Linked DNA regions of Stegostoma tigrinum. The protein of the gene in region 1 purifies or fractionates together with the protein of each later gene. This does not show direct contact. Links are inferred from orthologs where the notes say so. Each region holds a gene or a part of one and is shown in the gene's direction. Other genes may lie near its edges. The genes, in order: map3k1, axin1, dcaf7 and map2k1.

Region 1 (6,857 bases):
GAAATGGGAGAGTTCAGGCTCTAAAATTATTGAACTCAAAATTGAGTCCAAAGGGCTGCAGGGTCTCTAAGTGGAAAATGAAGTGTTGTTCTTCCAGTTTGTGCTGAGATTAATTGGAACACTGCAGCTTGCCTGAGACAGAGGCGTTGGCCAGGGAACTGGAAGTTCAGTGTCATTTTTGCAGGCAGAACAAAGATGTTCTGTAAAGCAGCCACCCAGTCTATGTTTTGTTTCCCCAGTGTAGAGACCACATTGTGAGCAGTGAATGCAGTAGACTAGATTGTGAGCAGTGCAGGTAATGTGCTGTTTCACCTGGATGGTATGTTTGGGCCTTTGGATACTGAGGAGGGAGGAGGTAAATCGGCAGGTGTTACATCTTGGGTGATTGCAGGGGAAGGTGCCATGGAGTCGGGAGGTGGTGTTGGGGGTGAAGGAAGAGTGGACCACGTTGTCCCAGAGGGAACAGTCCCTGTGAAGGGCAGACAAGGGAGGGGGACTTGCTGGAGGTGGCAGAATGGCAGCTGATGATCTTCTGCATGAGGATGCTGGTGGAATGGTAGGTAAGGACAAGGGGAGCCCTATCGCTGTTGCGGGAAAAGAGGGTATGAGGGCGAAAGTGCGGGAGATGGATCGGACCCGCTTGAGAGCCCTGTGGAGAATGGTGCTGGGGAGGTTGCCTGCCACTTTAACACACCACCCTGCTCCCTTACCAACATCTCTGTTTCAGGCTTGCTGCAGTGCTCCAGCAAAGCCCAGCACAACAACACCTCATTTTCTGCTTAGGGACCCTGCAGCCTTCTGGGCTCAACATCAAGTTCAATTATTTTAAGGACTGAACTCTCCCATGTCCTAGCCCACAACCCACTAACCAGGCCTTATTCCGCACTATCTATTGTTAGCCACTAATAATCTTCATTAAAAGAGATAGTAGGAACTGCAGATGCTGGAGAATCTGGGATAACCAGGCGCAGGGCGGGATGAACACAGCAGGCCAAGCTGCATCATAGGATCAGGAAAGCTGACGTTTCGGGCCTAGACCCTTCTTCTGAAAATTAACAGTTATTCACCCTCCCAGCCAGATCGTTATCCACTCCTTTGTCAGTCCAAATTGTTTCTCTCTCTTTGGGCTCTATTATCCCCACCTATCATTTACTCTTTTCCACCTCCTCCCACCCTATCTTCTGCAACATTTTCCTAGCTACCAGATAAAGTGTGAAGCTGGATGAACACAGCAGACCAAGCAGCATCTTAGGAGCAGGAAAGCTGACGTTTCAGGCCTAGACCCTTCCGAAACGTCAGCTTTCCTGCTCCTAAGATGCTGCTTGGCCTGCTGTGTTCATCCAGCTCCACACCTTGGTATCTCGGATTCGCCAGCATCTGTAGTTCCTATTATCTCTGATACAATTTTCCTAGCTACCATGAGTTCTGAAGAAGAGTCACCAGGCTTGAAATGTTAACTCTGTTTCCTCTTCACTGACGCTGCCAGACCTGCTGAGCTTTTCCAGTAACTTCTGTTTTTGTTAAAGAAACTTATTTTGTGTTCTGTTAAATCTTTTATATTTATCACATTCTAAACTACTGAACAATTGGGAAAGGCTACTTCCCTGTATTCTATCTATTCATTTCACATTTTAGCAAACTTCTATCACATTTCTGTGTGTTCTGGATAATTTTATTTAAAAAGTTTTCAGTACTTCTAATCTTCCTTTACATTTGTATTTCTTCATGCCATGTAACATTCTGGTATTATGCCTTGTATCTTCAATGAAGCTTTTGACAGTTCTATTCTGTGAAATTTAATAGTGCACAAAGTATACTAAAAGGGATCTCAATGTTTTAAAATGGGTGATGATTGCCTTCAGCTTTTATATTCTATATCTCTTCTGATTCAACATCTAAAATTCCAAGTTTTTCTTTTGTAATTTTTGCAATATAAGTGCTGTCTTTCTTGTCCAATACCTTGTGCCCCAAATCCATTTCTTTGCTCCAAGGCAAGCCTAATTCCTATGAGATAATAACTACCATTGTTTCTTAAACCAAATGTAGCACTGCACATTTAAACTGATATTAAATTCTATCTGTAATCGTCTTTGGTACACACACACACCAGCAGGGTCAGGAACAGTTTCTTCCCGGCTATTATTAGACTGATGAATGGACTCTCTAGCCTCAAATAATGCTGATCTTGCTAACATTGTTCTTGCCTAGTGCATACCCTGTGCAACGTAATCAGTATGCCTCTAAGTCTTTTTAAACAACCTTTGATCTGTACATCCTTACTTACTATGATCTGCCTGTACTCGTCCTAGACAAAGCTTTTCACTACACTTTTGTACATGTGACAATAAATCAATCAATTGCAACTCATTTTGCCTTGTAGAAAGGGAGATACATATCATATTTTTAGTATTGTCTGCAAACTTCAAAATTAAATCCTTCTGGCATGTATTCAAATTATTCACTTGCTTTATAACAAAAATTACTTCACAAATATCTTGTCTAATAATTATTTCCAATGACTCTGCCCTTAACTCTTAGGGGATTTAATCCTAGAAGAATTTTCACTTTTGCTGTCTGTGTGGCAATATGTCAGATGGGATGATCTCCACAACCAACAGATAAGCCACCTAACCAAAACCTAAACATCGAGACTACAAAGTGTAGAGCTGGATCAACACAGCAAGCCAAGCAGCATCAGGGGAGCAGGAAAGCTGACGTTTCAGGGCTAGACCCTTCTTTTTCAGAAAAATACATCTTGTTGTCTCACATTCTCCAGCATCTGCAGTTCCTACTTTCTTTGCAACAAAGGTGAACATTACCTCCAATCTTTTCAAGAATTTTACTTCAAATGTGTATGGAGGCCTAGCGGCTCAATGAAGTGTCCTGCTTCTAAGGGAGAAAACGCTGGCTGCGTGTTCCATTCTAGGTCTCTTACGCAATGGGGAGAAGTTCATTTGGCTGTTAATCTTTCCGAGACTTCACCATTGGGGCAAGCAAAGGCAGAAACAGTGTACGAGTAAATACAAAAAGAAACTTAGCATCATACAAGCAGACACAGAGTCCATAAGCCTCTCTGATGGAGTTATCCGCTTAGTTCCATACCTCAGTAGTTTTGCTATACGATTTGTTTTGAATTATTTCATATCGCATTTCATCTTGGATCTCTGCAAATCAGAACCACACAATCTAAATTTAATAAATGGAAAACAAACTGTATCTCAAGCAACACGCTGTAACATAAAAATAATATTCTGGAAGTTCTAGTCCACGGAGAGGTCTTAACTTTTCAGGTTGGTAACTTTAATCAGTATTAGAAACATACACACCGGGTTTTACGCATGTTCAGAATTAAGGAACGGGAGGAAGAAAGAACAAAGGGAAATGTGTTTTAGGACGGAAATCTTTTGAAACGTTAGTAAAGATTGTGCTTCCACCATTGTTTCTGCTGGGGTGTATCACATCCTAAAAACATTTTGCATATTAAAAATTAGGACATTTCAATATTATGACATTTTAAATCGACAGACACGCCACCAGAAAACATGTATTAACTCAGTCATCGCCAGCGTTTGGTGTATTTTGCGTTGGAGATTTCTGTTCAGTGGGTGAGACCCAATTGTTGTCCAGCCGACCGACCCGCCCGCCCGCCCGCGACCCGACCCCCAGAAGTGAATGAAGTGATTGAGCGACATGCAGGAGGAGACTTTCCACGATCGATTTCAGCGTCCGGCCGAGCTGTGCATGAGGAGAGGAGATGGGGCTATCTCGAGGGAAGTTTGTCCATATAAGGAATAGGGCCGGACCCACGGGGAGCAGCGGCGGCTCGCGCGCTCCTCCTCGCGCTGCTGCAGCAGCACATTTGAGAGTGAGGAAAAGAAACGGCCAAGTTTGGTGTCAGTACTGTGTAGCAGCCGGCAACACTGCTTGCCTTCTCCCGTACATACCTACCTACAACCGGAGAGAGATGTTATTCACCACCCTGAGCTGGGCCGGCGGCAATCCACTTTAACGACGGCGGAGAAGTGAGGGGGCGGAGCGGGACCGAGGAGGAGGAGGATGTGAGTGCGGCTCCGGGGCGGCTGCTGATTGACTGAGCGGCTGTGTGTGGGGAGGAGGGAGTCGGTGTGGTGAGGGGCTGAGCTCCGCCCGGCTGTATCTCCTGTACGGAGGAAGAGGCCGCTCATCTCTCTCTCAATCCCCCCCCATTGGGGCAGAGAGGGAAGGACGGGGGGCGACGGAGGAGGCCCATGAACTGAGACAGGACAAAATGGCGACGGCGGGCACCGGGAGCCGGACGGTGTTTACCGGGGACACCGGGACTGGGAGCCGCGGCAACAAGAGCTCGGAGCCGAGTGAAGAGCCGGCCTCGGCCCAGAAGCAGCTCGCGTTATGCAGAAAGCACCTCCGTAAAGTCAAGAGTGTCGACTTCGACGCCTCGGTGGAGAAGGAGCCGAGTTCGGACCTGTGTCTGCCCCATGCCGGAGCGGAGCAGCCCGCGCAATCCGGCGGCACTGCCGGACCAGCAGGATATGGATATGGGGGCTCGGCCGGGGCCATTCTTATGGATATAGGCCCTCCGTTCAGGTAAGGAAGGCACTGCCAGGTAATTTCCCTCATTGTTTGTGATAACAGTTTAACTGTAATGAGTAGAAGCGTAACATGAGGGGAAGGGGGATTTTTGTGGGGGGGGGGGTGTATTGGTGGGGGAGCTGGAACGGGATGGGAAAGAAAGGTGAATGAAGGGTTAGTGACTGGGATTGGTCCCACTGTTCCCGCTGCTGGCGGAATATCTGCTGCAGCGTCAGACATTGAGGCTGAATGTAAATAAACAGTGTGTCCTGTAGGTACATGTAACCGCAGCTACACGAGATTTCCCCGTTACACTAAAGATTTTGGTGTTTTGTTGGAGATCTGTCTGCTCAAGAGTCTTTCCTTGCCAAGCCCAGTTTCCGGAATATTTTGAATATGTTGTCGGTTGTGTTGTCATATGATCTTGTCTGATCTTTGAAGAACCAGCCGTTGTTCTTAACTCCACTAGATGTGCATGTCCGTCCGGTTGAGTCATGTTTCATTGAAAGTTGGCGATAGTGGTATACTTGGAGCGGATTTAGCGCGGTGTATGTAATACAGGATTTTGTAGCATTTTATGGTATTGTGAATGTTTAAGGGGGTAATGATATTCGTTAGGTTCTTGCATGCCCTGTTTCGTAAACTTTCATAATGGGACAAAAACAAGACGTCTCCCCCCCCCCCCGGTTCTACAAAAAACTGACCGTACTTGGGATTCAGGTTGCAAGTTTGATGTTTCGCCCGTGAATTTAAGCAATGTAGTAGGATGTTCATAGCACGTGAACGAAGACACGCGTCTAGGATTTCCTGTCATTTTAGGCTTTACGCACTAGCCATGAATTTGCACCTCCAAGCGCAGATTAAATGACAGATTCCTCTACCGTCTTGTGCGTTTGAAATAAGGTACTTCATTTTTAGGTCAAAGTTTTGTGTACGAGTGGATTAATAATGTGTTGTACTTGTATTAATTTTTGTATGCTGTAATTACTTAACCTACGTGTAAGTGGGAATGTTAGTTAAGTTGTATGTCGTGGGGGTATTAATTTTGTGGAGTATTACTAGATTAGTGTCAGTAACTGCGTTTCAAACCTGCAAACTCGAGCGACTTTCATTTTGTGTTGAATCTGAATTGGAGTCTAGCTGCTTTTGGGACATGACTACGTCAAATAGGCGCGGGGGAGGGGGCGGGGCGAATATGTAGTATTTTACTCGTAGATAGTTTAAGGAGGGTCCCAAAGGTGATATGTAGAGGAAACTGTAGTATAAAATATTCGTAAATGTGGGTGCTGCATGAATAGTTGGGCATCGGTTAGCTCAGTTGGCTAGTTTGCAATACAGTAACGCTAACAACACAGGTTCGATTACTATTAAGTACCTACAATCTCAATTTCGCCCTTTGCCTGAGACGTAGTGACCCTGGGATTAACCCATCGCCAGTTCAATGTGTGTGTCTCTCTCTCTCTCTCTCTCTCAAAACAGTCCTGTGGCCCCCTGGGGCTTTGGCGACTTTACTTTGTAACTATGTTAAAACATTTAGAAATTGTTTTTTGTAATGTCGCCACTTTCCGGGAAAATTCAAAGCGAGGAAGTGTAAACATTCGTCTGTTTGAAGTTAACGTGAATTTGTAGAAGGGAAGTATGGTTTTATTTCTAATGTCCGCAGGCGAATAATTTATTGACAGTTTTCTAGCAGTGAAGCAATCGCTGTCACCTTTTTTATCAACTTTTTAGTGAAGCAAGAATACAGTGTATCTGAACACTTAATGGCCCTTGCATGAGCTGTACATGGAGCAGCAAATTTGAATAGAATTTGCTTTGACTTCTTCTCATTGCTGGTTTCACAAATCTTGGCTTTTATTTATCAATCAATAGAAAGTTTTCAAAACAACTACTTTCTGGAGCATTTCTTTTCTCCAGTAATGTTTTTGTTGGATGGCAAGAGAGAACTCTTAAATGTGGATTGTGAGGTGACCGGAATATAAGAATTGCCCTTGCATAGATTTGACTTTTCAAAGTCATTAAACTCTTGCAGAAATGTAAGCAAAAGTTTGTTTTGTTTTATTTTTCTTGTTACCTGCTTTGCATATAAGTGGAGATGATATTTTAGTAATTTTGTCATCTCTACAGCAAGGCTTTCATTGGTCCCACAAATTTGGAACTATTGTTCTATAGTTAGCATGCTTAACAATACAATTCTGATGTAGTTGCTTTTGTTTTCTGGAAAATAGTTTCATTACAAAATCAGTTTCCAAGCCATTTTCCCATTACTGAACACTGAAAATAAGTAT
Region 2 (7,815 bases), on another chromosome or scaffold:
ATTTTAAGGGTGATACAGTATTGCCTCTTAAGGAAGATGCAACCTCTTTACCAATCCTTCAAAGAAACATAGTGCACACATTCAAGAGACGTTTCAGGTACGACTGAACAAGATTGGAGTGGCGTGGTATAACACCACACTGGCTAGATCCATTGTGTACATTTTAAGAACAGATGTCACTATACATTATGTCTTGATCCAAGCTACCTCAACCATTCACTTAAATGGTGTCCATTCAAAATGCCAACACTGGAAGACTTACATTTTCTGGAGTATGATTCTTCTGAAAGTCAGTTGGATACTTCTCTGTCCATTTAGCAGGAGAATCCCAACAGCTCACGACATTTAACACACTATGTGGATGGTACTCTTTCTGCCAATTACCATTTGGTGTATTAGTTCGCTAAGACCTGGTCCAGCAGCATGTGGATAGAAAGGATTATTAAAATGTACGACATTGTGTTTGCAATGCTAATGACATCATAATCGTAGGCAAGACAAAGGCAGAGCAGGACCACAGCTTTATCTACTAAAGGCAGTAACATGACAAACATGTCACATATTTAACAACACAAAATTCCAGATCAATATCAGCTGATAAACATCTTTGGCTGCATTTACTGCACCATGGAGTCCATCTTGATCTAGACAATGTCAAGGATTTTAAATAAATATTGACCCTACAGGATAAAGAGGACCTGCAATGTTACCCTGAATATTTTGAACTTCCTGATGCAGTTTGTTTCCAACATCTCAGACAATGTGCCTGTGCTGAAAGATTAGGTCAGGAAGGACATTCCCTATGAATGTTAAAATGACCACAAATACATCTTTGATTTTCTTAAGATAGTTCTGTCACTAAAATCTTGCCTCTGTAGTAGTATGACCCCAAAAAATACATGATTTTTGAAGTGGATGCTTTGCAAAAACGTCTAAGCACCTGTTGCCTGCCCAAGCCAACGATTCCAATTTGAGTGTGAGAAATTAGCTCTGCTATTCTACATAATGCAATTTCATACCTAGTTATTCGGCAGGAAGTTCACCTTTGAAACAGATCATGAGCCACTAGAAATGATCTGCCACGAACCATTAATGCATGCACTGCTGTGGTCACAGTTTCTAGATGTCAATGTGCAAGGGAATCTCTTCAAAGTGAAAAAGAAGCCGGGTACCAGGATGATTACATCTGATGGGCTCAGCAGGTTATCAAACACACACAAAGACCAAGATGTTCCTCTTGATCTACAGGATGAGTTTTATTTTCAGTTTATTCAGCATCATGGACTAGACAGAATCTGACAATTGACCACAGCTCACTGGTAAACCATTTCAAAACATGCACAAAGTGGGGAGTGACCCACATCACATCACCACCCCATTATCCATGCTCAAGTGGCCTAGCAAAGTGTTAGTATATACTACCAAATCAATGCTGATAAATTGTTAACATTCAAATCAAAATTTTCACATTGTGCTGATGCGTTTTCATATTAACACTGATAGAGATTGCCATCCCCAGCACAATTTATGCTTGAAAGAAAAATATGAACAACTTTGCCCAACAACCAATTTTCTAACCATTCCAAGATGTGAGACAAAGACAGAGGAGAATGGAAAAGATACACCACGAGTACACAGGTAGAGAACTACCAAAGGTGCACACCGGGCGGAAGATGTGAGATAGAAATACGAAGACCTGCTAGCAATGGCTTGTAAAATGTGCCACCAGCCCAAATCACATGAAGTCATCACTGATCATGGTGCTACGCTGCGACAGAACATAAGCCAGCTCCATACAACATACCAGTCAGGCACAAAAGGAATAAGGAAAAACACTCCAATTGGTCATTGTCTGGTGATGTTGAGTGATGGCAACTGGCAGCAAGGTAATCAAGATGTCAAACAAGTTGAACAGATAGCAATTTGCACCTCTCCAGACAGGGTAACAATCACTCGATCAGGAAGAGGTGTCAAACCTCCAAAGTTACATTGAAGTTTAAAATATTAATCTTGCAAGTTTTTCTTAACCTGTTTGCATAATTATCAAATTGACAATATAGATCTATGAATATCTGTTTCGGAGTTATGCTGACTTACTGATCATCAGACAAAACACAATAGCCACCTCCCCTATAACATTACCCCTGCCACTACTGATAAATCCATTTTAGAAAAGGTTGACTTTCAACTCCCCAAACTCTCCTACGCCCAAGGAGAATGGGGTATGTGGGAGACATTAAAATTAAAGCCACATTCTATTCTCCAGTTACCTCAGATTTCTGGCACTAGGAATCAGTCTCCAGCTCCTTTTATTCCATTAAATCCTTTCTAATTTTGCCAAGGCTTCTTTGTTGAAATCTGGATTCTGAACAGCATGAAACCACATCCTAATATCCCTGCATTGGCCACGTGGTCTCCTTCAGTGCTGTAACCATTCTATGATATGATTATTCTGTGATTTTGTCTTGAATGCTGTCAGCCTTCCACTAACTTTTTACTAGGCAATGGGGAAAATTCACAAGAATTGGAGAGCTCCTGTATGTAAACCCTGCGATATTTTAAAACAGGTATCTGTTCCCTGGTGAACAAGTGGTGGGTAGAAATGTGATCCTTGATTTCAATTCTGCAGGCACATACAATATTACGCTTTGAATTTAATAATTCACTTCATATGGGGTCTGAATCCAAAATAGTACAGAATAACTTGCCACTATTAGTAAGTTTACTTGACTAGCTAGTTTGAATCTTAGAATTAAAGCATTAATATACACATTAAATGCGCATGAATGAACCTTTGTTTTATAACACTCACTTCCAGCTCAGCAATGTCCAGGTTTCTTTTGGCCTTGTTTTAATTTTAAGCGGAAAATTTTATGCTTCATTGAAGTTGATGACACAATGGTTTAATCTTGCCACAACGCCTTTTGATTCAAACAGTAAAAGAGGAAATTGTTTTTGAGGAAATTATTCCCAAGTAGATTTCTCTCCAATGGAAAAGTCTCGACACTGTTTGTTGTTCAAAGATGATGGTCTGTGTTGGCCAAGGTTTATCACAGATCTGACCCATAATGCTTGCAGATACTCAGAGAAAATACGACAAAATTAATTTGAAAGAATTTAATGTCCTTCTGATAGAGTGGAACAAGTGAAGGAAGCATCGGTCCCAAGATCATTGTGGTTGGTACCAGAGGGGTGGATTGAGCCAAAACTGGTCCATTTTCTCTTCAGGAATCTTTGTAAATGCTCAGGATGGAAGAACATACTTACAGGAAATAAATGATGCAAATTTAGCAAGAAACAGGAAAGGGGTTGTAGGGAGATCAGGGCTTCTGTTGGGGAGGTGGTCAAATAATAGTTAACGCACCTTTATATAGTGGCGGCTCCAACTGTGCGGTGTTTTTTATTCACTGTCAGATTTTGGGAATCATTGGTATTTATTGTCCGTCCCTAACTGGCGATGAGAATGTGATGATGAGCCATTGCTTAAAGCCCTGTGGTCTGTGAGGTGTAGGTACATCCTTTGTGACTTAATTCCTGCAGCAGTTATGATACAATCGAGTGGCTTTTACACTGTCTTAGAGAGATGTTAAGAATTTCTGCCTTCCTGGAGTAGGCCAGAACGGGAAAGGATCAGTGACTTCCTTCCTTGAAGGGTACTAATGAACTAGATGGGTTTTCATGACAGTCTGGTAGTTCCATGACCATCATTACTGAGATCAACTTTTTATCCCAGATTTATTGTACATTTTTTTTGGCCAAGTCTGAGTTGCATCAAGTTTTTTTTTCGTGGTTTTTCAGCCATGAGTTTACTTTAACTGGTTTTTTAACCCTTTAATGGGTTTTCATCCTAGCTTACCAAACCTGCCTCATTAATTGACCGCCCAACCCCTGAGGCATCGCTTTCTAATTTCTGCCCATCTTACCATGCACCATTCCCAGGAAACTCACCACCCAGTGGAGGCTAGTACCTTTTGCTTCCTTGCCATCTGTAAAAGGCAGTTTTGACATTCCAAAGCAGCCCTGCCCAGTGACAGACAGAGTCGGAACATGGCAGGGAAGGGGAAGTTGGCGCCTTGATTGTCCAATAAGGACCTCAAAGTCCTGGTGAATAGGATGGTGAAGCAAGAAGTGCCCTCTTCCCAGAGGATCGCTAAAGGAAGGAGCACCATCAAACACTGCCAACTTGGTCTGAGGTCACCACCCATGCCAGTGCCCGCTCCAGGGTGAGGAGGAATGGCCAGGAATGTAGAAAGAAGGTCAATGACCTTCTTTGCATCACGCCTCCACACTCTGCCACCTCACACACGATCTATCAGTCCCACTGCAGGCTCCTTTTGCCAAGGTTCATACCCCACCACACTCGCCGCTGCCTGCAACACATTCCTTTACCAGCTTTGCCCACTCACCGTCCACACTGCCTCCTCATTCTTTCAGAGCACACCTTTTGCCTGCACTATTAGCTGGGATACCCATTGTTACCTCACTTATTTGCCCCACCACTTCCCACCTTTCTCCTTGCATTACACGGGAAAGCTGCCCACAACGGGGCAGGTAGAGCCTATTCCACAGGCGGGGGGACAGTGCCTGATATCATGTCCCAATCTGTATGGGAGGAAAATCCTGACCCTCACAGGAGACAACCAGGACTGCCTCCTGCAGGGATGCAACACAGTCATGTCCCAACAAATGAAGTAGGAATGACATGGCATGGCACTGTCTCAATGGCACACTGTCACTCTCAGTCATTGCACACCTCTTCCAACCATTGGTCTTTTCTTCCTTTTGTCTTACAGGCTCTGCAAACCTCCCAATGGCTGGTAGTGGAAGAATCACCCTCCTAAATCTCTGGGGATGGGAGTATGGAGGCCTCAGAGGAAGCATCCTGAAGACCTCAGCATCTCAGATACCAATCCCCTGGCGGGAACTATAGGCACACAGTGTGTGGCTTCACTGTCTGGTAAGCACCTAGCCACAACAGCTCTGCATCTGGCACTCAGCAGTGGGCCTGAGACTTGGCACTTGCTCAGCTTTCAGCAGGAGACGTCCCTGTGGTGTCAGTAAACAGGAACGTGATCCTGGGCGAGCAGGGGAGGGGGCTGTTGTTTGTGTGGGGTTTTACCCCAGTCCAGGTTCCCGTCTTCACAAGGGGATAGACCGGTGGCCAAGGAGCACCCAGATGGTGGTGGACCTGTATTCTGGCCTTGAGGCAGATAACACTCAGGGCCCTGAAGGGGCTCTCTCTCTCCAGACAGCCTGTCCCTCCAACCCTTGGAGGTATAAGCCGAGGAGGGTCACCTTGCCTCTGGGAAGAATTCTATCGCGTGCCTGGCCATCCGGGCTGAAGCATTGTGAAGTTTGCTGCACCAAAATTCTAGGGACAATGGGCTCCACTGCTGAGTCAGGGAGCGCACTGAGTTACAGTGAGACAGAGAGCAGGAAGAAAATATCCTGAGGGCACTTTGGCTGCCCCAGTGAAGACAGCTTTTCTGTAAATAGTACATTGTCCATGAAACTTTCAGATATTATTAACATCCTTCCATGTGTTTGCGAATCCATCTGTGTAATGCACCTTCACACCAGCAATGACTCATGGCCACAGATGAGGCTCCTGGAGAGAGGTCTGTACTGAGAGCCCAATGCATCTGGAAGTGAGGGAAGCCCTCTGTGTGCAAAGGTGTACAGCTCAATGAGTTGCCCACCAGTGGCTGTGTGAGGGTGGTGTAATGTACAGAGAGGCTCAATGCTGTCAGCTAGCCTGGCTGGAAGCAACTTGTCTGCTTTACCTTTCGAGGCCAATGTATACCCCTTTATAAACCATTTGATCACTGATTGCCTCTGACCCCTCCCTTGCAGGTCAAATCATTTATAGATGACATGAAGATTGCTGGAGTTTCTGATAGTGCCAACGATTGTAAAAGGATACAACAGGGTATAGATAGATTGGCAAGTTGGGCACAAAAAAGGCAGATGGAGTTTAATCCAAACAAATGCGAGTTGATGCATTTTGGAGGATCAAATTTAGGTGTGAATTATACTGTAAATGGCAGAACACCTAGGAACGTTAACATACAGATGGATCTGGGCATGTAAGTCCACAGTTCCCAAAAAAGATGCCCATAAGTGGCCAAATTGATTAAGAAGTCATATGGCATGCTTGCCTTCATTGGCCTGTGCATGGAATAGAAGAATTCGCAAGAAAGACGGCAGCTGAGAGGAGATTTGATAGAAGCCTACAAAATAATGAGAGGTAAAGATAGGGTGGAGGCTTTTTTCCAGGGTTGAAGTTGCAATTACAAGGGGGCACAGGTTCAAGATGAGAAGGGGAAAGTTTAAGGGAGATGCGTGAGTGAAGTTTTTCATGCAGAGTGTGGTCGGAGCCTGGAATGCACTGCCAGAGGAGGTAGTAGAAGCGGGCACATTGGCAACATTTAAGCAGCATCTGGATGGTTACATGAACAGGGAACAGTGGGATATGGACCAAATAAGGGCAAAAGTTTTTTAAAATTTAGTTAGGGCATGATAACCGGCACATGCTTGGAGGGCCGAAGAGCCTGTTCCTGTGCCATATTTCTCCTTTGCTCTTTCATTCCATAGCCACAAGCTTCAGGCCTACTGTGTCATCCCAAACATCCACAGTTCCTTCCCAATAGAGAATCCTACTAGCTCCACACTTTCCCAAAGCCCAAACCAACCCACCTAAATGCAGCTACAACTGCCTAACCTACCCACCCAGCCCCTGGCATATAGTGACCATGCCAGGTGTGATTCCCTTAAAGCCAGAGTGCTCCTGTCCATGGACAAACCCAACCACCCTGTCCCTCCGCATAACCCCCTTCCCAGCAATACTATACTGTCTCCTCCACCCCTTGCAAATTCATCTGCCACCACCCAGCACTTCCCCCCACTTTCACTATTGTTAGTAGACCCTTGACAAGAGTTTGCAGCCCTTAGTCCCAATGAATCTGTTGCCGAGGCTCGTTGCCATGGCTACACCCACACTTGTCCCGCCTCCCCCTTACATTCTATGAATGGAATACAAATAACTGGCCACAAGCCTCCCCCCTCAACCCACATTATCCAACAGCCACACAGAAGATGTGCCCAGATCCCTGACTGGGGCCTGTAAATCTCCCCGACCGTTTTAGATCTACTGACTGAACCTGGCATTACTGACTGTGTCCACTCCCCGAGAACGGCCCCCAGCCCCTGATCAGACTCCTGGCCATGGTCAACCTCCTGGACTTGAATGGGAGGCTGCGTTTGACTCAGTGTACTGGGCCAGCCTAACAAATGCCTCTTGTGAGCACTGCTCCTCTCAGAGTTGGATTCATGTCTGTCTGCTCGTTGCACACTCAATCAGTTTGCCAGCTAAGCTGCAGGCACATGGTGCAGCTATGAGATTGATGTGGCACACTGCCACACAGCAGGATGTGGCTCCCCCTGGGCTGAGGACTGCATTAACAGCAAGGCAACCTGCTTGTTGGGTGACTGCATGAATTGGCATGGCAAGGCAAGGCATGGATGCTACTTGCATGGCAGTAGGCAGTAAGTGATCACTAAGAGAGACAGCAAGCATTCCTACAATGCAGCCTGGTCCAGACTGCCAGTAAGGGGCCTAGCCCTGTGCTCAAAATGTCCCTCCTGCACCTTTCAGGGCCAGTATCTGGTGCATCTTGCAATGCAAGTCTGTGCTTCCAAAGAGCACTATCAGTGTATCAGAGGGGTGCCTGGATGGTTGTGGGTGGTTGCCTGGTTCTAGATGGCAAAGTCCACTGAGCAGGAATGTGTTCAGCTGGTGTCCATGAATTGTGTTCT
Region 3 (6,882 bases), on another chromosome or scaffold:
CCAGCGGCAGTCACTGAAGAAGGATTAATAGTCCAGTGCTGTTACTGCTACACCCTCATCTGATTCCTGTTTTATTATTTATTCCCAAGCCATCAATTTTTTGCCTTAAGTCTTTCCTGTAATATCCTGCCTTTTTCTGCTTACAATAAGGCCACTTATAGTTCTTCTGGATCACTCACCCTACCATCTTACTACTTCAAAACTTTTGCTATCATCCTTTCTGCCAGGACGTGGGTCTCATCCCAGTTCAGATACAATATGTTTGATTGGTGCATCTTCTTTCTGTCCTAGAATTGCTGACGTGGTGCATGAAAAAGTGCCTCTCTTTCCCACACCAGCCAGTTAGCCTCATATTAATTCCCCTGATACATTTGCTCCATCACCAGTCTGAGAGTCTCACAATAATCCATGTGGCCCTTTCTTATTGACTTGTCTTAAATCCCCATGATCCAGCTCCCTATCTCTCACACCTCTCCTTTCCTGATGCTGGGTCTTCTGTGACCATGTTCTGGGCAAAACTGCCCAGAAACTCTGCCACATTCCTTATGTCAAAGTCATCTGATGCCAGAAGCCCACATCTGTGCGGGTTAGAACTGTTCTAATCTCCAAGTGCTATCTCATCTGGTGCATATTCCCTGTTCGGTGCCATCCATCTACATGCTCCCCACTGGGCAGGCACTCCACCGCCAAGCCTCAACCAACACAGGGAGATGCTGTATTGAGACAGCTTCGCTTGTTCTGGAGAACCATACATTGTAGAAACTACAACTGTCTGCTTTTATTGTGGATAATAGTGGATCGTAACCAAGCTTTGAAGTGCTACCATCACTGGCTGAACAGAAATCACCGTGCTAGAATTGCTCCTGGCTTGTTCCCAACAACCAAACTGAATTGACTGGCCACACCGAACCCAAGAGCAGTGGGTCTTCTACAGTCCTGGGTGATGGTTATTGGTTCCTGATGTATCTCCATGAACCAGGATCTACCTGCCACATCAGGTTATGAATAATGAATAAAAGTGAAGTTGGAAAAGCAGAGCAAGTCAGGCAGCATCCTGTCTGAGCTGCTGTGCCTTTCCAGATTCACATCTATTGACTCTGGCTTCCAGTATCTGCAGTCCCTAATGTTTCTAGGTTATGCACAGTGATAGACAATGACAGAACTAACAAGAAGATATAAAAAACCGAAAGAACTATGGATGCTGTAAATCAGGAACAAAAACCAAGTTGCTGGAAAAGCTCTGGCAGCATCTGTGAAGGAAAAAACACAGAGTTAGCATCTCTGATCCGGTGACCCTGATTTCTGAGACATTGAGAGCTGCGTTCTGAGGAAGGGTCACTGGACCAGAAACATTAACTCTGTTTTTTCCTTCACGGGTGCTACTGAGCTTTTCCAGCAACTTTGTTTACTTAACAAGAAGAGATGCTAGGGAAGGTGATATGATAGCAACATTTAAGAGAGATTTAGCCACAGGAACATGCAGGGAATTGAGGGAAATTGATCATGTACAATCAGGTGGGATTTGAATAGCATCATGGTCAGCATGGACATTGTGAGCCAAAGGGCCTGTTCCTCTGCTGTTCTATGTTCTAAAACAAAGTTCCAAAAACCTTCTAAGCTATGATTGAGGCCTGCAAGTGAGAGCAAAAGACAGGTTGAAGAATTTGCTATCATCAGCCACCAGTGCTGAGTGGACAATTCATCTCGCCTTTCTCTGAGATCCCCAATATTATAAATACCAGTTGTCAGCCAATTTAATTCACTTCACGTGAAATCAAGAAACATTTTAATTGACTGGATGCAGCAAAGATTATTGGATCTTACAACAACCTGACTGTAGTAATAAAGAGTCATGTTCCAGATTTGTGAAGACTGGTCAAGCTGTTCCAAAACAGGTACAATACTGGCACTATCTGACAAGGAAGAAAATTGTCCAGTAATTTCTGTCTGCAAAAAACAATGTAAATTGAATCTTGCAATTATTATTCCATCAATCTTCTCTTGGTCATCCACAAACTGATTGAAATTGATTGTTTCTGTAAGTACTTATCCAACGCTAACCTGTTAATAAATGTTGAGTTTTGGTTGTTTGTCCCACCTCGTTACAGATTTGTGTGAAACATAAGGAAAAAAAGTTTCAATTTCAGAAGTGAGGTGAGGTGAGTGAAATTGTCAGTAAAATTAAAATCAGTTGGAACTAGAAAAATCTTTCCACTGCTTGGAGTCATTACTAGCACAAAGGAAGGTGATTGTGCTTGTTGGCCATTTATCCTCAGCCCAAGGAAAGTGCTGTAGAATTTCTATGAGGTAGTGTTCTAACCCCAGCGTCTTCATCGACAGTCATCTCTCCCCAAAAATCAGAAGTGGGCTGTTTTGCACTGTTGAACACCTTAGATACTAAAACATTCTGTGTTTTCATTCAGGTTTGGATGATAGGTGACAGCTAACGTTTATGTCACTTGTATGACTGGCAATGACCATTTCCAACAGAGATTTTCCCATTGCCATTGCCCAGAAATCTGACTGGACTAGCCTTATAGATTCAATGAATATAAGTGTCGCGAATCGTGCAGTCGGTTCTCCTCTACTCCTCAGAACCAGTCCACCATATGAACATAAGACATAGGAGCGGAAGTAAGGCCATTCAGCCCATCGAGTCCACTCCGCTATTTAATCATGGCTGATGGGCATTTCAACTCCACTTCCCTGCACTCTCCCCGTACCTCTTGATTCCTTGTGAGCTCAAGAATTTATCAACGTCTGCCGTGAAGAATTCAATGTCCTGGCCTCCACTGTGCTCCGTGGTAATGAATTCCACAGGCCCACCACTCTCTGGCTGAAGAAATGTCTCATTTCCATTTTAAATTTACCCCATCTAATTTTAAGGCTGTGCCCACGGGTCCTAGTCTCCCTGCCTAACGGAAACAACTTCCTAAATTCCACCCCTTCTAAACCATACATTATCTTGTACGTTTCTATTAGATCTCCCCTCAACCTTCTAAACGCTAATGAGTACAATCCCAGGATCCTCAGCCGTTCATTGTACATTAAACCTACCATTACAGAGATCATCCATGTGAACCATCTACAAGTTAGGAACATAATGGAGAAAGGTTGAGAGAGGGAGCTGACTTGATAGATTGAGACGGTCAAGGCCTGGATGGGCATGTGTGGGGAGGGTGGTGTAACGGTGGGGGTCCCAGTTTGAATAACCACCATCTGACCCAGAATGACCTCTGGGGAATCTCACTCACGGTTTGCTCTCCACAAACTTCCGGAGTGGGTTAGGGCGGGAATTTGGACATTGTATCATGACCATCCACCAACTGTGGGTGTGAGGGTGATGGGGGAGGGCCGCAGTGCATCAAGCCGGGAACCTGCTTTCGATTGGTCCGCACGGCTGTCATTCAATACCGTCTCGGGACACGGAAAGCCCGCCTCCCCTATGATTGGCTTTCTTCGTTGCCCATCAGAGCGTGTAGGGCGCGCGAATCTTTGGTCCCAATGTATAACTGCCCGCTAATTATCTAATCAGCCACTGGGCCTGCGCCTCTCATACTCACTCTGATTGGTGAAACCACTGTCAATCAAGCTGAAGGTCGTGTTTGATGTTCAAAACTCACCCAGCAACGGACAAAAAAAACCGCCTATCAGGTTCCCAGAATTCTTTTGTCCGCACAGCTGTCAATCAAGGACGGGGTCAGCGCCCGCCTCATTGGCTGGTTTCGATTGGGTAGATTCTATGTCACTCATTCGGCGCTTTAACATTTTTACCAATCAAAGCCAAGATATCAAAAGTCGGCCCCCGTCTTTATACTGGACTGGTTATTCGAACGGTCGTTCGGACAAGGACGGGCTGTGATTGGTGAAAGAGGCTGTCAGTCAGCAGTCGGTTTCCGTTGTGACTTTGAGCGGTTTATTGTTGTTGGGCCCGGGCCCAGGGCAGCAGGGCGACGGGGAGAGTGAGAGTGAGCAAGCGAGGCTGGGCCGCGCTGGGCTCCGAGCGCACGGCCTGACATCGCCATCCCAAGATGAGCATGCACGGCAAGAGGAAGGAGATTTATAAGTACGAGGCGCCATGGACCGTGTACGCCATGAACTGGAGCGTGCGGCCCGACAAGCGGTTCCGCCTGGCGCTCGGCTCCTTCGTCGAGGAGTACAACAACAAGGTGCAGATCGTGGGCCTGGACGAGGAGAGCTCCGAGTTCATCGCTCGCAACACCTTCGACCATCCGTATCCCACCACCAAGATCATGTGGATCCCCGACACCAAGGGCGTCTACCCCGACCTGCTCGCCACCTCCGGAGACTATCTACGGGTCTGGAGGGTAAGGAGATGCCGCAGAGTGAGGCCTGTCTGGGGATTTGGGGATGGCGGGAGTAGGGGAAGAGGGGTGATTAGGGAGAGAAGGGATTGGTTCTGGGAATTGGGGTGATGTAGGAAAAGGTGGGTGGGGAATGAGGGGTTTAGGAAGAGAAAGTAATGAAAGTAAATTAGGGAGAGATGAGAGTGCACGATTTAGGGGTGAAGAGTTGAGGGAGAGTACGGTGGAGTGGACAATAAAGTGGTAGTGGAGGAAATGGCTTGGGAGAAGTATAGTACGCAACATTGTGAGCTATTGGGATAAGTATGGCAGTATTTTTTTCCCCTGTACTTGATAGCCTGTGAGCAGTGAGCCAGGTTGGCAGTTGATTAATCTTTTGGTAATGGGGGTAGTTGTTGTATAGGCAGGTTGAACTTCAGTTTAGTTTGAGAAGTGAATATTCTCCATAATGTAGCACCTTCTTGGTTTTCCCCACAGTTGCGTTGTTGGTCATGATGCATGATTAGTGCTTTGTTATTTTATGCCCTGATTTGTCTGAAGTGAAACCAGTAAAGACACAAGAGGCTTTCAGGTCTTGAAGCTTACTGGTACAGTCTGGAGAGCATTAACGTATTTAAAGTTTTTGAGGAGAGTTGTAGCTCGGGTTGTGGATGAGGGGTGTAGGCTTACTTGCCAAGCCGGTGTGTTTGGTTGCAGATGTTTTGTCACCCTGCTAGATAACATTGTCAGTGCATCTCCAATGAAGCGTCGGTGTTCTGAACCACTTGTTGTTTATGTGCCTCGGTTAGATTAGATTCTCTACAGAGTGGAAACAGGCCCTTAGAGCACCCACCCAGACCCATCTTCCTATAACACTCACACCCCTGAACGCTACAGGCAATTTAACATGGCCAATCCACGTAGCCTGCACATCTTTGGACTGTGACATCTTTGGTTGGCATTACTTCCAACTTTGTGTTTCAGTGGTTTGTATATCAGGTCCAGTTCAGTGTGTTTGGAATGCCAGGTCTCCAGGAATCCCCTGGCATGTCTCTGTTTGGCTTGTGCTATTACGGATGTGTTGTCCCAGTTGAATTTGTGCCGCCCTTTGCCCAAGTGTTTTGAGAAAATTAGTCGTTCCTGTTGGTAACACAACACGGCCAGATGTACAGCAAAGACATATCCAAAATTACCACAAGACTGCTCAGACTCCTAGGTATCAGGGTAGCCCACAAACCAACAACCACCCTGCGACATACACTGACGAATGTAAAGTATCCCATACCCACAACCAATAAAACTATTGTAATCCACAAAATACCACACAAGGACTGTGAAAAACATTTACATCAGCCAAACTAGAAGAAAACTGACAATAAGGATACATGAGCACCAACTAGCTACCAAGAGAATTGACCAATTCTCACTGGCCTCAATACACACTGACAAAGAACAGCACGAATTCGACTGGGGCAACACATCCATAATAGCACAAGTCAAACAGAGGCATGGCAGGGAGTTCGTTGAGGCCTGGCATTCCAACCAGAACTCCATCACCAAACACATAGAACTGGATCTGATGTACACACCACTGAAAACAGAATCAGAAGTAATGCCAACCACCCCAGCAAACTGAGGCATACAAATAACAAGCAGGACGGAGTACCAGTGCTTCACTGGAGGCAAGCCGATGATGTTACCTGGCAAGGTGACAAAACTTCTGCAACCAAACACACAAGCTGTGTGAGCAAATTTATATTGTTCATGTGTTTTATGGATAAAATGTTTGTGAATTTTTAGGAGATGTTTTTGTATGAATGTAATCACTGGTGTAGCATTGTTCTAAAGCTCAAGTAGCAAATCAGAGACCAAAAAGACTTTAGTTTGACTCATACGCTGAGTAACATTAGCTGTGCTCAACCAATCAGTCATTGGTATTCTTCTTGTAATCTCATAATCTTATTCAGCGAAGGAAGAGACAGCAGACAGGGTTTCCCATCAGCTTTTTCTTACTGCTCCGTATGGAGTGTGCTGTAAGTTGCTTGTGTTTGGAAATGAATAAGACTGCTCTCTTTTCTGGACATTACAGTCCTCTTGCTCTGGGTTTGTATGTTAAAAAAATTGACCATGTTCTGGGATTTTGGGTATAGAATCTCATCCCAGTGTCAGAAGGATTGAATCGAGTTGTGAATTGGGAGGAATTCCCCCACTGCTTAGAAGAAATTTAGTTGATCGTTGAGTTATCAGTGCAATAAACAAAAGAGCTAAGAGAAATAATGCTACATCCTTGTCGTCTGGACTTCTACAGAAATTGCTTTCCCTGTCTATTTTTTTTCCATCCTTAATATTTATGTCAAGCTATCTGCTTTATGCTTGGATGAATGTGTGAGAGTTAAACAGGTACAGATTATCTTGCCTTGTAGTAAGGTTGTAGTCCCTATTTGTTTGTTTGTGAAAATATTGATTTGTAGTTGTCACGTACTCTGATACAGTGAAAAGTGTTAGTTTGCATGCTATACAGGCAGATCACATCATACAAAGTGCATCAGGATAGTAGAATGAAGTGTCACAGCCGCAG
Region 4 (7,114 bases), on another chromosome or scaffold:
TCCTACCTACCACCGCATCCTGCCTCCTTGACCTGTCTGTCTTCCCTGGACTGACCTATCCCCTCCCTACCTCCTCACCTATACTCTCCTCTCTACCTATCTTCTTTTCTCTCCATCTTCGGTCCGCCTCCCCCTCTCTCCCTATTTATTCCAGTTCCCTCTCCCCATCCCCCTCTCTGATGAAGGGTCTCGGCCCGAAAAGTCAGCTTTTGTGCTCCTGAGATGCTGCTTGGCCTGCTGTGTTCATCCAGCCTCACACTTTATTATCACAGTCACTTAATTGATGTCGTGTATCTTTAGCAGTAGTGAAATTTGTAGATGTCCTTGAGTTCTTTGGTGAATAGATGTTTCTTTAATTTGTTATGTCACCACCTGCTGCTTTGTGAGAGGCTAAGAGATGTGATTTGACACAGTAGACCTACCAGTTCTGCTATTTTCAATCCAAATTCGCACTCTCTTCTCTGCCCCAAATGTAGTTTGCTTGAAATAAAGCTCATTTTTGTATCCCTGTGTCTATTTTATTGTTCTCCTCAAAACAATGGGATCACATCCCTGGAAAATCTACAAGTAAATTTCATCCAATGTATGAAATTTCCAGAAAGGTGTAAATTATACAGCAGATGCTGATCTGAATAACACCATTTTAATGAGATGTTAATTTCAGTTAAGATGGAGTCTTGTTAGTTTATGGTTTCATGAAGTTTGTGTCAACCTGGTCAGGTCTTCAATGTGGTCATCTTAAGAGAGAGTTTTAATTTTTGAAAAACTATTTTTGTCCATGAAAGGTCCCAGGTGTTAAAATCCAGTGACAGGATTTAAAAATCAGTCTCAATTTGCCACTTTCTTTGGTACATGCATACACAGAGTACAAATTTCCTGCCTCGGTTACATTGCTGCTCTCCACACAAGGGAATATTAAGTCAATGTAAATCTTTGCTGCTTGTTTCCTGCAGAATCACACTTCAAACCCCTTGCAAATGAAAATTTCTGATAAATGTCCAGATTCTTAAATGTAATCATATGGAATACCAAAATATCTTTACATTCCCAATATTCAGCTCCTCTTACAATCTTTCGGCAATTAATAGGGTTTGGATACCAAGGAACTGAAGAGAATTTAGAATAGTGCAGGAAGATGTAACCAAACATTTAGTGAACAACAGACAGACCCCAAAGGCTGAATGGCCTGCTCCTGCACCATTGTCATACATTCTTGACCCCTGAGCCCCAGCAGAACAGGTTCTATCAATCCCTGTGGAACATTTCATTTGCATCACTTTGCTTTTGACCTTACAGCTATAAATTCTTTTCTAAACAAATAATGAGGCAACCAACTTTTGATGGATATTTTCTGAAGTGGCATAATTCAATCTGGATAAAAAAATTACACTTTAGTGTGAATTTTTAAGCTGTTTTCTTCAATTCACAAACTAAATAATCTCCTTGCATCTACTTCATCTGTTCCTCACAGAATCTAAAGACTTGAAGATGGCTCCACCTGCATATGCATTTCTCTGCTGTTCTGTGAATATTCCCCATTACACCAGGGTTCAAGTTCTATAATAGTCTTTTCCATTATTGTCTGAACTTTCTCCAGTACTCAGTGCACACAGTACTCTAAATGTAGCCTCATTAGTGATCTACGCAAAGCCAGAGTAAGTTGTTACATGGAGTGATTTAATCTTCCACTGGGGGTTTGGTCCATGTCAGAAACCACAACTATATTTCTCAATAAGATTACAGTCTTATAATTACTTCCTTGTTTCCAATATTGCTACAATATATTCTTATATTACTTGGATAACTCAAACAGAATTTCAGCCTGTGTCCACACTGTATTTAATTGCGTGGATGCAAGGGTTGCCACTGGATGTAGTGGTATAACGCATTGAGCCATGATATAAAGAATGTGGTAGGAGTGGTGCAATGTGGTGCAATGCCTGGAACTCTGTTACATTTTTCCTTCATTAATAATGAAAATGAATTGCGAGCTTTAAAAAAATTTAGTTAATATTCTACGTAGAGCAGGTGATTTTTTTCATCAAGTGCCCGGTTGAAAATCTAAGTTGTATTCAGGGCTGGCAGCTCCTCAATGCTCCCACTCTTTTAAAATGTCCTTCCCTTATTAGATTGCAAAATGGAGAGTTACATTTTTGATTGGGATTGAAGATCATAACTTCAGTCTTCCCAGTTTTAATTGGGAAAAAAATTCTGCTCCACTTATCCTGGATTTTGAACAAACAGTCTGATAACTTAGTGACACGTGAAGAGTTGAGAGAAGTCATGGTGACACAGAATTGAATATTTTCAGTGCACATCAGAAAACCATCACTATGTCTTCTGGATAATGCTGCCAAAGTGTAGTAAACAGATGAAAAGTACGAATTATGGAATTTAAAATAGAAATAAAAACTAACATCTGTAAAAGTGGCCATGAAACTGTCTCAAAACCAAGATGTTTTGGCAAAGAACTTGACATTCTGGTTTATGTGTGATTCCAGTCCCATGTGAAAGCAGTGAATAGCAATTCAGTCCTACCATGCAACAATCCGTGAAGGTGATGCTCCACTGCCAACCCTTCCTCCACTTTGGGGAAATGAGGGCTTGCCAATAAATGCTGACTTGGCCTTTAAGAATGTTACTCCATCATGTTGCTGACAAGAAATTGTACATCAAAGTCCATTGGTTGCTAGTATCAGAAAGTTGTAATTGTGCTGTGGAAACTCAGCAGGTTTGGCAGCTTCTGTGGAGAGAGAAACAGAAAAAACTTTTTAAAGAACAGTTATACCATGCTCGAAACATTAACACTTTCTCTCTCCATAGATGTTGCTAGACCTGCTGAGTTTCTTGAGCATTCTCTGTGGTTGTTTCAGATTTCTTGCATCTGCAGTATTTTGCCTTCATTTAGGTGATAATTGTGGGTTTGAATGTTATTTGGAGGGACTTGGGGAGTGGCTGATGATAGATGGAGCTCAATTGAAGGTATATGCTAAGAGGGAACAGAAAGATAACACAGCAGGCCAGGCAGCATCAGAGGAGCAGGAAAGCTGATCTTTCACTTCAGGACCTTCTTCAGGGTTTTCTGCTTTCCTGCACCTCTGATGCTGCCTGGCCTGCTGTGTTCCTGTTGCTCCACACTGTGTCACCAGCACCTACAGTTCTTACTATCTCTGAGGGAACGGAAAGATTATGTATTTATGTGGGGCACTCACTAAGGGACGTGGGACCATAATTTGACAGACATCAAGGCCTAATAAATGCCAAAAGCATTGAGTCAATGGACATGAAACAAGTAGTTAGATGAATGCAAATTTAACTATTACAAAGAATGAAACAAAACTTTAACATGTCTGTACAAGAGACTAAGGATCGGATTCGAAGAAATATTTCAAAAATGTGACCTACAAAGCCACCTAAAGGCTAAACTAAGCAATTACACTGTGACCCAGTCAGTGAAATATCAACAAAATTTTTAAAAGGGAAAATTCGATAGTGACCATAAACATCGGCAAAAGTAGATAATTAGAAAATATGTGCAGACTGTTGCTTTAGAACATCTTACTTCACTTCCACATGGAATGAAGGGGAAGTGGAGTTTATAGCTGAAGAAGGCAATTATCTACCCCATAATCATGAAAAGCCTTCAAAAAGTAAATCACTGAGTAAAGAACTCGGTGACATTCTGATGTTGTGGAAAGGTGCTGTGTGACTATAACTCAGTCTGTAGTGTATAAACTGTTATCCCTATGTCCATTTTAATAATGGGAATGCTTATGTAAACCTATCACACTGAAAAAGACACACCACCCCGTAATTTTCATTCTAAACGTAAAGAAAACTTTATAATAGAAAACAAAGTTTAGTCACACATAGATTATTTAATAACACATAAAGCACTTTTGTTGAGACCTAGTTAAAACCACGTTATAAAATAATCACTTCTAAATACCCAAGTTTTATATATCCATTTGCTTTTCCTCAAATGACTCTTTATATTCTCCAATTATAATTGGGCGTGTAGTTTCTAATTTTGACAGTTTCCTCTAGGAACTGACTCTATTGCTCCTGCACTAAAGTCGGTCTATGGAGTTAGGAGGAAATTCTCTTCGTTGAAGGCTGCCTCTGCCTGAAAGATTTCTCTCTGTCCAGGACTGACCGAGCAGCATGCACCTCACATTTAAATAGCATGCCATTTTTTTTGCGTGTAGATATATCGGTGACGCATTTCCGCAGACCCAGGTTGGGATTGACGATTTTACAGACAGGGAAAAATGTGTTCCCTGAGAGGTTGGCAAGTATCACCGGGCAGAGTTCGGTGAAGAGTATCAGGCGCCTGCAGCTTGTTACATTGTTACCTCCGCCCCTGAGAGCGGGCACAGTGCGAGGGCACCGGGCTCTTTGGGAGAGGGGGGGAGCCTGTGCTGAGGGCGGGGGGTTGTTTTAGATCCTCAGGAAACGAGAGCTCGCAGCGTTTGACGTTTCTCGCGAGCAGCCTCGCCGGGAAAAGGCGGAACTGAATTTGTAAAGTAGCAACAAAACGGACAGAGCGGCGGCAGAGTGAAGGAGCAGCTCTCACTTGGACAGACACAAAGCACACACGTGTGTGTGTGTATAAAGCCAGCGCCGCTCCCTCTGGCCACAACATGCCCAAGAAGAAGCCGGGACCGATCCAGCTACACCCGAGTCCCGATGGCTCGGCTCTGAATGGGACCACTTCCGCAGAGTAAGAGAATTCCTCTCCATCTCTCATTATCCCGGGAACAGCAGCAGTAACGCGGATTCCTCGCATTGTCCTGAGCGGGTGACTGAGGAAGAGAATAGTGTTTCTCTTTAGGACGGCGGGTTGTAAATATCTAGGCAGTGGGTTTCTCCAGTTTCAGAGCAGGTTTAACATGGGACCCGCAGGGTGTGGGCCTGGGTTCTTTCAGAGAGAAAGGGCACATAATTTGATTTGAAGGAGCTTTTGTTGCCTGCCACGATATTTACACACGTTGAGACAGCCTAGTTCAGTCAACCTCCGCCATTCCCCGAAGATAAATATACTGTTGAGCATACTTGTGGGCAGAGTGTTTAGGGAACGATCTGATCCTCCTGTGAGCTTTTGAAACCATTTAGTTGATATCCTTCAGAAGGGTGGAGGCAGGGGGTCAGAACCAAATATCATCTTAAAGGAGATGTGGTTTAGGGGTTTGAGTATAAATAATGGATTCTATTCTTTTCTATAATATAAACTCCCTTGGGCAGTTTACTTTGTAAATGATCCCATGTAAACATCACACTGCAATTACGACTTCGTTCCTGTGGAGGCAGCACACCACCTCTAGGAAGTGTTGTTAAGATGCGACAACTTTAGGTAGACTTTGCATTGTATGTGAACATGGGGATTTCAAAATGTTCAAGTCGGCAGGAATAACATGTAGATGAGTAATATAGTGACCTAGAATTTATATCCCTGGACTTCTATATAAATTTTAATGTGTATTTTCATGTTAGTGTTGTAGTCAATGATGTTGTGAGAATTGGACAAATCTTTGGCATTTTTAATTTTCAGTCGTATGCTAATATAAATAACAAAAGCATGCCTGATTGCAGGGCAGCAGAGAATAACCATGTATTTCTGATATTTTACCTTTGTGTCGCAGTCTCTTGTCTAGTCTGAAAGGTGGTCTGTCTGACAGTGAAGCACTCCCTCAGTACTGTTGGGAATGCTGGCCTCAATTTCAGGTTTTATCTTGAATGAGGATGTGACTAACTTGAGACTGGTTACAATAATTTGGTAATGGGGTGTTGTGCCCGCACTGAACATTAACGGATGGCAGCCTGGCCAATGGAGTTTCCAGCTGTAGTTACATTTTCATTTTTTGGGGCTGGACTGCCCCTTTAGGCTCCAAAACTCCAGTCTGAGCAGATGACACTGCAGCCCCCTCTTAGTCTCCACTGAGATTGAGCTTATCTGTTACGGCCCATTGACTTACTGAGTCAGGAGAATAGGGGATGAAGTTTGCTTTCAAACAGTTCATCATTGAGGGAGTGCTGTACAGTCATGGGTGTCAAAGTTCAAACTAGCTGTTAAACCGAGTCAATGTGATCACCTCGAGTGGATACAAAAGATCATGTGGCTTGGTTTGAAGAAGAGCAGGGAGAATCTGATCAGTACCCTGGGGCTAGTACTTAACCATCATAGATCTGTTTGTGGGATCTCCTGTGCAAAAATTTGCTGCTGTGCTTCCTACAATGTAATAGGGATGGCACATCAAGAATTACTTTTATTGGCTTTAATCCAGTCTGGGAAGTCCTGATTTATGGAAATCATTATCTAAGTGCAAAGCGGCACAGTTGCTCAGTGGTTAGTACTGCTGCCTCACAGTGCCAGTGACCCAGGTTCAATTCCAGCCTCGGGCAACTGTCTGTGTAGAGTTTGCACGTTCTCCCTGTATCTGCGTGGGTTCCCTCTGGTTTCCTCCCACATTCCAAAGATCTGCAGGATAGGCGCTTTGGCCATGCTAAATTGCCCATAGTGCCCAGGGATGTTTATGTTGGGTGAGTTGGACGTGGGAAATGCAGGGCTAGGAGAATGGGCCTGGATGGGATGCTGTTTGGAGAGGTGGTGTGGATTTGTTGGGCAAATGGCCTGTTTCCACACTGCAGGGGTTGTGTGTTCTAAGTCCATTACCCTGTTGCAAACGAGGCCCAACTTTTGGAATGGACCATGAATGTTCAGGGTGGCAGCTTATGTTTTCTAGTAGCTGTTGTTTGAGATGCAGTTACCACCTAGTAATTCCAGCACATGGTCAAAAATGTGACAAGCAATCTGGAAAAGCAGTATGGGAGATTACAAATTCCTGGGATTGGCCTGTTTGGAAGCAGCTGTGGTTGCAACTAGAGGAAATGTAGTCCATAGAATAATGAAACGCTCTTCCATTTGATACTAATCATTTAACTTGGAAGAAGCAGAATGTCAAGTAGCTTTAATTTGTGGCTGTAAACATTGAATCATTGTGAAACCCAGTAATAACACAATAGCAAAAATGAAATTAAAAAACTGGTTACGGCATGGGCGCACATCATTTGGCCCATGATGCTGCTACTGCTGTGTGCAAAATCAACTCTGCTT

What was found.
Region 2: the proteins of map3k1 (region 1) and axin1 purify together in Homo sapiens (affinity purification with western blotting; 5 studies listed by BioGRID and IntAct, with this or other methods). This does not show direct contact. The link is inferred for Stegostoma tigrinum from reciprocal best matches to the Homo sapiens genes MAP3K1 and AXIN1.
Region 3: the proteins of map3k1 (region 1) and dcaf7 purify together in Homo sapiens (affinity purification with mass spectrometry; 3 studies listed by BioGRID and IntAct, with this or other methods). This does not show direct contact. The link is inferred for Stegostoma tigrinum from reciprocal best matches to the Homo sapiens genes MAP3K1 and DCAF7.
Region 4: the proteins of map3k1 (region 1) and map2k1 purify together in Homo sapiens (affinity purification with western blotting; 3 studies listed by BioGRID and IntAct, with this or other methods). This does not show direct contact. The link is inferred for Stegostoma tigrinum from reciprocal best matches to the Homo sapiens genes MAP3K1 and MAP2K1.

The regions. Positions count from the first base shown.
Region 1 is NC_081354.1:124,099,416-124,106,272, reverse strand, and holds the start of map3k1 (mitogen-activated protein kinase kinase kinase 1), read left to right. Parts: upstream 1-3,850; 5' UTR 3,851-4,267; coding exon 4,268-4,584; intron 4,585-6,857. UniProt on the Homo sapiens protein: Component of a protein kinase signal transduction cascade. Activates the ERK and JNK kinase pathways by phosphorylation of MAP2K1 and MAP2K4. May phosphorylate the MAPK8/JNK1 kinase.
Region 2 is NC_081376.1:42,034,566-42,042,380, forward strand, and holds the start of axin1 (axin-1), read left to right. Parts: upstream 1-4,796; 5' UTR 4,797-4,957; intron 4,958-7,815. UniProt on the Homo sapiens protein: Component of the beta-catenin destruction complex required for regulating CTNNB1 levels through phosphorylation and ubiquitination, and modulating Wnt-signaling.
Region 3 is NC_081384.1:38,612,948-38,619,829, forward strand, and holds the start of dcaf7 (DDB1- and CUL4-associated factor 7), read left to right. Parts: upstream 1-3,876; 5' UTR 3,877-4,031; coding exon 4,032-4,328; intron 4,329-6,882. UniProt on the Homo sapiens protein: Involved in craniofacial development. Acts upstream of the EDN1 pathway and is required for formation of the upper jaw equivalent, the palatoquadrate. The activity required for EDN1 pathway function differs between the first and second arches.
Region 4 is NC_081386.1:34,840,121-34,847,234, reverse strand, and holds the start of map2k1 (dual specificity mitogen-activated protein kinase kinase 1), read left to right. Parts: upstream 1-4,114; 5' UTR 4,115-4,643; coding exon 4,644-4,723; intron 4,724-7,114. UniProt on the Homo sapiens protein: Dual specificity protein kinase which acts as an essential component of the MAP kinase signal transduction pathway.